Sus scrofa: one gene and its partner. The protein of the gene in region 2 interacts with the protein of the main gene of each other region in a biochemical or structural test. Links are inferred from orthologs where the notes say so. Each region holds a gene or a part of one and is shown on either strand. Other genes may lie near its edges.

Region 1 (4,140 bases), on a different chromosome or scaffold from region 2:
TTGTAGTATATAGTATTGGCATCATTTATATTATAATCTATCCTTTTGATCTACTGACCACTTACATGAATCACTTAAGAAGCAATCAGATATAATATGGTGCCTTCATTCTGTCACTGATGTTGAGAACAGTCTCAAAAATGTCTGATACATAGATGCGATTGATGGCTTCCCCCACTCTTAACCTACCTTTGTAACAGGTGATATTATCTCAAATGCCTCTTATCTACATCAATTCAAAGACTGAACCACAGAGTTTTTTCAGGTGAGTCTACAGGTGGACCAAAAGAGATGACTAGGGAGTCAGAAAGGCATAACTTCAAAACTATATTTGGGAACAGAGGCTCCAGATGAACAGTAAGGAAAAGGCAATGTCAAGAACGGAAACCCTTTAAAACAAACCAAAAAAAAAAAGGTAACATACATACTCCATCCTCTCTAGGGTAAGGATGGGGGGAAGAATATTAAGTAATTCCTAGCTCATTTCTCATAAGGTTACATGTATTTTAAGAGTTTGGATTGTGACCCAGCTCAGTTACACTATAGGGGCTTTTAAGATTTATGTAATTAATGATTCAGTTATCATGCAATACTACTGTCTGACTTGAATCAGAAGAGGCTTTCTCTTAAAACATTGGTATAACTGAACACTTCCTAACTTACTATATTCTTCAGTTTTCTTAAACTTTCTCTTATGAAGAATCTGTACTAGTTCTTACCCTTGGCTGTTTCTTGAGTATTACAGAAGCTCAGGTTCTCTATACAAGGAACTACTCCACCAGAAGCTTATGAGTAGTGTTCAGGACTGTTTCATTTTATAATCACTTTATCCATTAGTGATTCCTACTCCCTCAGCTGCTTATGGGTAGTATTTAGCACTGTTAACTTTTTAAAAGTCACATTAGTGATTCTGAATATAGAAAGAGGTAAGAACTGTGACTTTTTATATCACACCATCTTGTGAAAGAGTTTCTAAGACATTATTTAACTGTAATCTATTAGTTGACAGATACTCTTTGTGTTGAAATGGTGTACAGCAGTGTTATTCCTAGAGCACTTACATATTCTTTGGGATTATTTTTAACGTTCTTAATGTCAAAAATATCCTTATATCCTTTAACAAGTCATAATGGGTCATTTACCAACTTATATATAAAACGAAAATGGGTCATTTACCAACTTATATTTACAATGAAAATTTAACCAAGTTTTTTAAGTTCTCCAGTTTGAGATTCCTTAGTTATACATCTGCTTTAAAGGATAAGGTATGACAACCTAGACGGACACACTCTCCTCTTTGAGAATTTCTTTACCTCCAACTGTGAAAAAGTATTATTACTAAAGGTAATTACGCATGTTTATTTTCTTATCTAGATGTGTGTATATACGTAACACATTTCACATACTCTTAGGAGAAACCAGCCAAACTTGTGATATTAAAAAAAATGCAACAAAACTTCAAGCATTTGTATACATAGTTGTTAAGCAGTTTAAATTTTATTGACCTCCCAGTTTTTAAAAAAATGTTAAATTTAAGGTCACGCGTCTACCTTTGATGTACTATATACAGATCATGCAGAGTATGACTATGAAGAGGTACAAATTAGTACATGCCCGAAAAGATTTACTAGAGTACAGAAGCATCTTCATAAATACATATAAAACTCTCGTGAAGACAGACTACCAAAGCTTTCTGAGACACTTTTCAAAGTAATTCAAGGCACAAAATGTACCCTATTGTGAATACGTACATATTCCAGACTTTGTGCCTCTAATATAGCCCATCAAAGATTTGGCTTCATGACTTATAAAAAACTAAAGTGAGATTCTGCTTCTTAGCTGGAAAAAACCACAGGACCTATAAACCTCATGTAGATAATTACTCCAAAATATGGAGATACAAATACAAGCACTTTATTTTAAAAATCAAACACAAAAAGATAGGTGTAAATTCAAAAGTGTTTAAATGCTTCCATTTTGAATAATTAAGAACCTATACAAGTTTGTTCCCAGAAGCTAATGCATCACTAGTCTCTACTAAGGAAGATGAATTCTAAAAATTAACATGGTTTTCAGTAATTCAAATATCACTATTTATATAAAAACCTAGAGAGACCAATAATGTCCAATAGCTTCCGAAGATTAGCTAAAGACTTTTACTGATGTTGTCCAGGTCTGTTTAATATATACACAAGGAAAATACGCTCACTATAACTTCTTATAAAATAGCAAGTAAGGAGTAGATGTAGGAGATGTAGAAGGGGAAAGAGAATTCAAGAAGTCCTTCTCTTCAGTAACTTTCACTTCAGAATCATCAAAAAGCAACCACTTCCCCTCATACTCCTTTAAGCTTTGCACTATGTACGAAATCTTGTTCTCAAATCCACTAATATTAATGCCTATTTGGTCACTGGATTCCTTGTTTCTATCAGATTCATGGGTCCCATTAGTATTAGTCTCAGAATTTCTGTTTTCAGCAAGTGCTGTACTGGCAACTTTATCAGGATTAGATGCTTTGTTGTATAACTCATAATCTGCTTTGCTCTTTTGTCCTCCAAGAAGTCCAATAGCTTCTACATTTTTTTTGTTCAAAACTTTACTTGGCTGGGTACTTCCACTGACTCTAATGGACACTTCTTCATCATCATAATTTTCAACCACACCCCTCGCTTCCTCCTCATTGAGTGGTTCTGGCTTACCTACTTCACACATTTGGTCGATCACAAAGTTTTCCTTATCTAGTTCTAAACTGTTAAGGTCAGTGACTTTAACAGAAGCAGTATAATGCCCGCTACTAATTGTAATGCCACTATGCATTACAACTGCAAATAATCCATAGCTGTCGTTGGTTGGCTTTGTGCTCCATTCTTCCAGTGACAATTTAAGAGGTGTCAGTAAAGGAGTGTTGATCTTGGAAAGTCCACCACCATAACAATCAAACCTTAGGAAGGAAAAAAGAAAAGTTTTCTGGGATTCCAAATTATATATATTCAGTTTTACACCCAACTGAACAAACCCTTAACATTTATTGTTCATATGAATAAACACAAAGTAAAAATAAGACCTTGATTTTGTAAAGTATTTACATAAGGAATACTGAAAAAAGTACTAACAAACATTCAGGTACTTCTATGAAGGATATATGGCACTTCCCTAAATTTTTTTGTGCAGTAAGAAAATGGATTTTAAAAAATTCTCAACCATTTTATTAAGTTATTTTAATGTGAAGTCTGTCTCTATCAAGTTTTGGAGACAAAAAATACAAAAAGAAAGAAAATAACAATGTGTGGAGAGCTACTGGGAAGCTCTCGTGGTAATCTCAATTCATCTGCAATGACATTATGTATACCTGTCAGAAAAAAGTCAAGTCTATCTAAACTGGCATTTTTATATTATTTTTAATTGCTTTTAGATATTTAAATTTTCAGCTACAGAAAAATCTCTCAAATTGTTCAAAGACTAATTTTATTTCCTGGCTTGCTTACCAGAAAAACTAAAATAATTTTGCTTTTTTTCTTCCCTCAAAAAAGTGTTGATGTATACAAAATTTTCGCCACTTTCATCAGTTCCACTAAAAAAATCTAAAGAAATGAAAATGGAAAATGTGTAAACAAATCATATGCATTTTTACCAAAGGTTAAACTGATTGATGCTTTTTTATAGAAACTGTTAAGTACACTACTACACTATTTTGTTACTATATAGTATTTTGAACAAAACTTTAGCATACTCACTCCAAGCCACTAGCAGCAAAGCACTTCAAATGAATAGTTATAACTTCAGGCATTTTGTCAAACAAAAGACTTCGTTCAGCTTCAGTGTAATGATGGCAATTTTCACAGAAATATTTATCTTCTCCTACAATCCTCTCCACTGAAGCAAACTGTGAAATTGCCCATCTCAGGGTCTTCATTTCTGTTTTTGGCTCTGGAGAAACTACACAAGAGAATCCTTTCACTCACAAATGAAAAATCTCTCAAATTTATTAACTTCAGCCACAAAGTTTCATGTTCAAAATTAGCAAGCAACTTCAATCAACTAATCTTTACCAAATAATAAGACATGTATTTATTTATTTTAGTTTCAGAAACTTTTAAGTTCATCCTCAGAGTACACATGCATTTAAATATGTCTGGTCAG
Region 2 (5,634 bases):
ACAAGAGCAAAAAAGAAACAAAGGGGGATATTTACAATAGGGAAATGATTAATACATGATGTGTTCCTTTTAATCAATAAGAAAAAGACAGTTTAATAGAAAAATATAAGCATGTAATGGTCAAATATGTGACAGGAGCTCCCACTGTGCTTCAGCGGGTTAAGAACCCGACTAGTATCCATGAGGATGTGGGTTCAGTCCTTGGTCTCAGTGGGTTAAGATCCTGCATTGGTGCAAGCTGTGGCATAGGTTGCAGGTGCATCTCAGATCTGGCATGGCTGTGGCTGTGGTGTAGGTCAGCAGCTGTAGCTCCTATTCAATCCCTAGTATGGAAACTTCCATATGCCACAGGTGTGGCCCTAAAAAGAAAAAAAGAAATATATGAAAGCTATCTAACCTGTACCAATCATTTAATGTGCAAATTGCATATTAAATATTGACTTTTTCACACAAATGAGCACAATTTCTTTAAAAATGAGGTTGCTAATACCCACAGAAAAATTAGGGGAGATGAGCAGGCTCATTGTCCTGGCTATAACATAAATTGAAATCTTTTAGAAGTCAGTTTAGTAACACATTCATCAAAATTTTCATGTATATGCTCTTTGATCCAGCAATACTACCTCAAAGACTTGCCCGAATTACAAGAAATTGGTAAATCTTTTTTTAAAGAGATGATGATGTAGAAAAGAAGTACGTGGCATAAAATTAAACATACTTTGTTAAGTATTTTGCATAAGTGTTTACAGTATAAACCGTTTTTTTGTTTTTTGTTTTCAGGGCCGCGCCCGAGGCATAGGGAAGTTCCCAGGCTGCGGGTAGAATACGAGCTACAGCTGCTGGCCTATGCCACAGCAACTCCAGATCCAAGCCGCGTCTGTGACCTACACCACAGCTCACGGCAACGCCTGATCCTTAACTCACTGAGCAAGGCCAGGGATCGAGCCGCAACCTCAGGGTTCCTAATCGGATTGTTTCCACTGCGCTACTAGGGGAACTCCCTGAATTTTGTTTTTATTTAATTATTTATTTATTTTTGTCTTTTCTAGGGCAGCTCCCGCGGCACATGGAGGTTCCCAGGCTAGGGGTCCAATCGGAGCTGTAGCCACCAGCCTACTACTCCAGAGCCACAGCAACTCAGAATCTCAGCCGCATCTGCAACCTATACCACAGCTCACAGCAACGCCGGATCCTTAACCCGCTGAGCAAGGCCAGGGTTCGAACCCGCAACCTCATGGTTCCTAGTCGGATTCGTTAACCACTGCGCCACGACGGGAACTCCTGAATTTTGTTTTTAAAAGTACATTTGTACAAAAAAAAAAGCTTAGAAAGTTGTATGCAGTAAACGATAGTTTGGTGTGTGTGTGGTGGGGGAGGCGATGGCAGTGGGGAGCCACGATAACTGTTTTCTTTTAATCATAACTGTACATCTCTTTATTGTTCACTTTTAGGAACGCTTCTATAATTGCTACTCTATAATAGCAGGGGGAAAAAAGTGCATATTTAAAGTAGCTATACTCTTTAGGCGCATGGTGGCTCTTCCTCCTAGAAGGCTGGATTTCCGTTTCACCTTCACTTTCAAGGCTGTAAATGTCCCATCCCTCAAGCGGGAAATTGATGAGGCACCACAAAGCCACCTCAACGACCCCCCCCCAAGCCTAGGCCTGACCTTCACACTTGCCCCGACTTGTCTAACGTCCGGGCGCCGGAACACGACAAAAAGGCGGGGAGCCCCGCAGGATGCCTATCAGCAGGCCCTCGTTAGGCGCAAGATTCCTGCCCCGCCCCTACGCCCACACTCTCCAATGGATGTTCGGGGTGGGACGGGCTTCATGTGGAGCAGGGACACGATTGGCTCCGCAGCCTCTCCGCCCAGGCAGTGGGCGGGGCAGCGTGGTGACGTAGCCATGAAGGGCGTGGGGGCGTAGCGCGCGCTCGCAGACGCGGCTGTATTAAACCGCTGCAGGCGCGGCCGGCTGGCAGTGTGCGTCCTCCGGTTCAGGCTCTGTTGTGGTGTTTTCCTGCTCTCTCTCAACTTCTGAAGCCTAAGCCGGCTACTCCTTCCTTCTTTCTTCCACCTGTAGCCGCGTCGTTGTGATTCCACCACCATGTTCGAGGCGCGCCTGGTCCAGGGCTCTATCCTGAAGAAGGTGCTGGAAGCGCTTAAAGACCTCATCAACGAGGCCTGCTGGGACATCAGCTCCAGCGGCGTGAACCTGCAGAGCATGGACTCGTCTCATGTCTCTTTGGTGCAGCTCACCCTGCGCTCCGAGGGCTTCGACACGTACCGCTGCGACCGCAATTTGGCCATGGGCGTGAACCTCACCAGGTGAGTCCCGAAGCCGCAGACTGTCGGGCCCGCGGACACCCCTACCTCCGCTCTTGGCGGGAGCGCCCATAAGGCGGGCCCTTATTGGCTGGCGTGGGATATCTGCACCTTTCTTATTGGCCTGTGGCGCGGGGCGGGGGGGCGGGACCAGTAGCAGAGCGCGCGGTTCGGAAAGCCCGCGCTGACTGCAGCGCGAACCGGCTGTTTCCGCGCCAAAGTCACAAAGCAAGTGGTGGCGGGAAAACGACGGGCTTCTTCGCGGTGCCAGGAAAAGATTGTTGCGGAGCCCTTGGTTATTAATTGCAGGCGCCTTTAGATGAGCCGCTTTATAATTTGCCCTACTTCTGTCGCCGTGATATGGACAATAGCTTACTTTTTTACCGCAAAGTTGCAGTGAACATCCTAAGATCCTGGATTTGAGGAAAAATTTCTCCAGGAAGGACAGTGGTTTTAAACTTTTTGATCACTACCTTTCCTAGTACATACACATGTTTAAGTTTTAAAGCTTGTGAAAAGTGTTTACCCGTGCTACACTCAATATAATAGACTGGTGCTTCAGTGGGTACATTAAAATCTAAGATCGTCGCGGCCCAATAATTTACTTCACCCACCAAAGGGATTTGTACTTTCTAAAATACTGGTCTTTTTTTTAATATCCCGAAGCGAAATTGCACATTGTGGGGTGTGGGCTTTTTCGTATAAGTATAAATACTGGCAGATTGCATTCCAAAACGGCTGGACTCTCTTACATCTTCCTGCAGTACGTTTCCCAAACTCGCCAATTCGACACGTGGTCCAGTGGTTAAAAGTGGTAACTCATGGTTTTAATTGAGTTAGAAAGCTAACGATCTTGAGAAGATGGTGTCGATTTTAAACTCTTGTCTCCTGTGTTCCAGCATGTCCAAAATACTAAAATGTGCTGGCAATGAAGACATCATTACGCTAAGGGCAGAAGATAATGCAGACACCTTGGCACTAGTGTTTGAAGCTCCAAGTAAGTTACACCCTTCTGAGTTAATGCTAGAGGAGATTAGAATGCAGTGTCTTTATTTCCCAAAGCTGAGAGAAATTTAAGATAGTTTGTGGTAATTGTAAAATTTATCACAATTATAAACCTACATGTTTTTCTTCATCGTTTGCTTTCTTTTGGTAGATCAGGAAAAGGTTTCAGACTATGAAATGAAGTTAATGGATTTAGATGTTGAGCAACTTGGAATTCCAGTGAGTATCAAAGTTTCTGATTGAGCATACTACATACAGTCATGATAGTTACATAAAATATATTAATATAATAAAGCCTACTTCCTAAAAGAGCTTTTTCTGTATATCTGCTCATGTATGTTCCAAATCCGAGTATTTAGACTGATATAAATGATGGTATTCTGCAATGGCTCATTGTTTTGAATTGATTGCTGCCACATGCATATTTGCATTAACCTAATTGACTCTCTTCTTTTTATTCCTACAATGCTTAATTTTTTATTGAGTACATTTTAAAGCTACTTTAGCAGAAATTCATTATGCTTTGGTTTATCAACATTAAATGAGAGAAGAGGGTTTGGATGTTTAATATGCCTAGTAATTGTATTTTCTTGTTTTGTTTTTCAAAAAAATGACGGCCTGTTAGCACCGTCATTGTGTGTGTGCTATACCCTAATGTTCTCTTGATTTAACCCTGTAGATCATTTAAGGGGAGGCTCTTGTTCCCTGGACAGTGCATTTACTATAAAAGTTCAAGTTCTTATTTGTTTCCTTTGATTATTTTATAACATTCTTGTTCTATAACTGTGTTTACGTTTTGAGTGGTTAGAGTATGTTAAGAAATTACACAAAGTGATATTTCAAAATAATTAGAAAACCTTAAATTCTCTTGTTTAAATGCTGAGTCTTCAGACAGTAAGGGTGCCAAATCTTTCATTTCCATTCATTGAACTTAAGTTTCCTTGTTTCATAGGAACAAGAGTACAGCTGTGTAGTAAAGATGCCTTCTGGTGAATTTGCACGTATATGCCGAGATCTCAGTCACATTGGAGATGCTGTTGTAATTTCCTGTGCAAAAGATGGAGTGAAATTTTCTGCAAGTGGAGAACTCGGAAATGGAAATATTAAGTTGTCACAAACGAGTAATGTTGATAAAGAGGAGGAAGCAGTAAGTAATTTCTAAGTAAACACAGTACTTTGAAAAGTAACTTTATGCTGCTGTAACAAGATTCCATAGACTAAGTGGCTTATAAACAACAAAAATTTATTTCTTACAGTTATGGAGACTAGGAAACTGGCAGATTTTGGTTTCTGAACCGCTTCTTGGTTCACAGATAGCAGCCTTCTGTGAAAAGGGGCAAGAGAGAGCTTTGTGGTCATTTGTAAGGATATTCACGAAGGCTCTGCCTGCTTAACCCTAAGTATCTCCCAAAGGCCCCACCTCAAACAGCATTACATTCATTACATTGGGGATTTGGTTTTAATGTGAATTTGGCAGGGGAAGGGGGGATGGGATGGGACATGACCGTCTGTGGCAAGGTAATTGCTAAAATTAAAGAAAACTCTAAAGAAAAATAGTCAAAATTTGCATTTCCAAGTAACTAATTTGTGAGAACTTGAAAGACTTGATGTCTTAAGGTGGTTTATAAATGCCATCTAAATTGTGAGAAGGCAATGCAAATTCAGTGCAACCTTTATAAACTATAGAACAATGGGTTTGTGTATCAAACCCAAACATAGAATAGGATTGGGAAGCTATATATATCCGAATATTGTGGAAAATTTGATTTAAAACAAACAAACTGGGGAGTTTCCATTGTGGTTCAGTGGTTAATGAACCCAACTAGTATTCATGAGGATGCAAGTTCGATCCCTGGCCTTGCTCAGTGGGTTAAGGATTCAACGTTGCCATGAGCTGTGGTGTAGGTCACAGACACAACTTTGATCCCCAGTTGCTGTGGCATAGGCTGGCAGCTGTAGCTCTGATTCGACCCCTAGCCTGGGAACTTCCATGTGCCACAGGTGCAGCCCTAAAAAGACCAAAAAAAAACCCAAAACAAAAAATCTGTATTTGCTATTTTTACCAAGTAAGGACTTTAAAATATACTCATAAATAGTAATAAAATAATATAAAAAAGTATAGTAATAAAAATGCAGAGGCTAATTCTTTTTCTTCTAAATTACATTTCAGTCTTGCCAATCTTCATTTTTGTTCTTGCAGACATTAGTTCACCTGTAACTATTTTGGTATTATTTTGTAGTATAAACATTTTATAACATCTTAAAAATTATGATTTAAGGGACTTTTCAGTGTTCCTATTTCC

Evidence for each region.
Region 1: of the proteins of PCNA (region 2) and USP1, one has a biochemical effect on the other in vitro, tested with the Homo sapiens proteins (6 studies listed by BioGRID, with this or other methods). The link is inferred for Sus scrofa from reciprocal best matches to the Homo sapiens genes PCNA and USP1.

What each region holds. Positions count from the first base shown.
Region 1 is NC_010448.4:149,972,443-149,976,582, forward strand, and holds part of USP1 (ubiquitin carboxyl-terminal hydrolase 1), read right to left. Parts: intron 3,937-4,140; coding exon 3,735-3,936; intron 2,942-3,734; coding exon 2,209-2,941; 3' UTR 1-2,208. UniProt on the Homo sapiens protein: Negative regulator of DNA damage repair which specifically deubiquitinates monoubiquitinated FANCD2. Also involved in PCNA-mediated translesion synthesis (TLS) by deubiquitinating monoubiquitinated PCNA.
Region 2 is NC_010459.5:14,139,018-14,144,651, reverse strand, and holds the start of PCNA (proliferating cell nuclear antigen), read left to right. Parts: upstream 1-2,067; 5' UTR 2,068-2,108; coding exon 2,109-2,329; intron 2,330-3,225; coding exon 3,226-3,323; intron 3,324-3,482; coding exon 3,483-3,550; intron 3,551-4,283; coding exon 4,284-4,478; intron 4,479-5,634. UniProt on the Homo sapiens protein: Auxiliary protein of DNA polymerase delta and epsilon, is involved in the control of eukaryotic DNA replication by increasing the polymerase's processibility during elongation of the leading strand.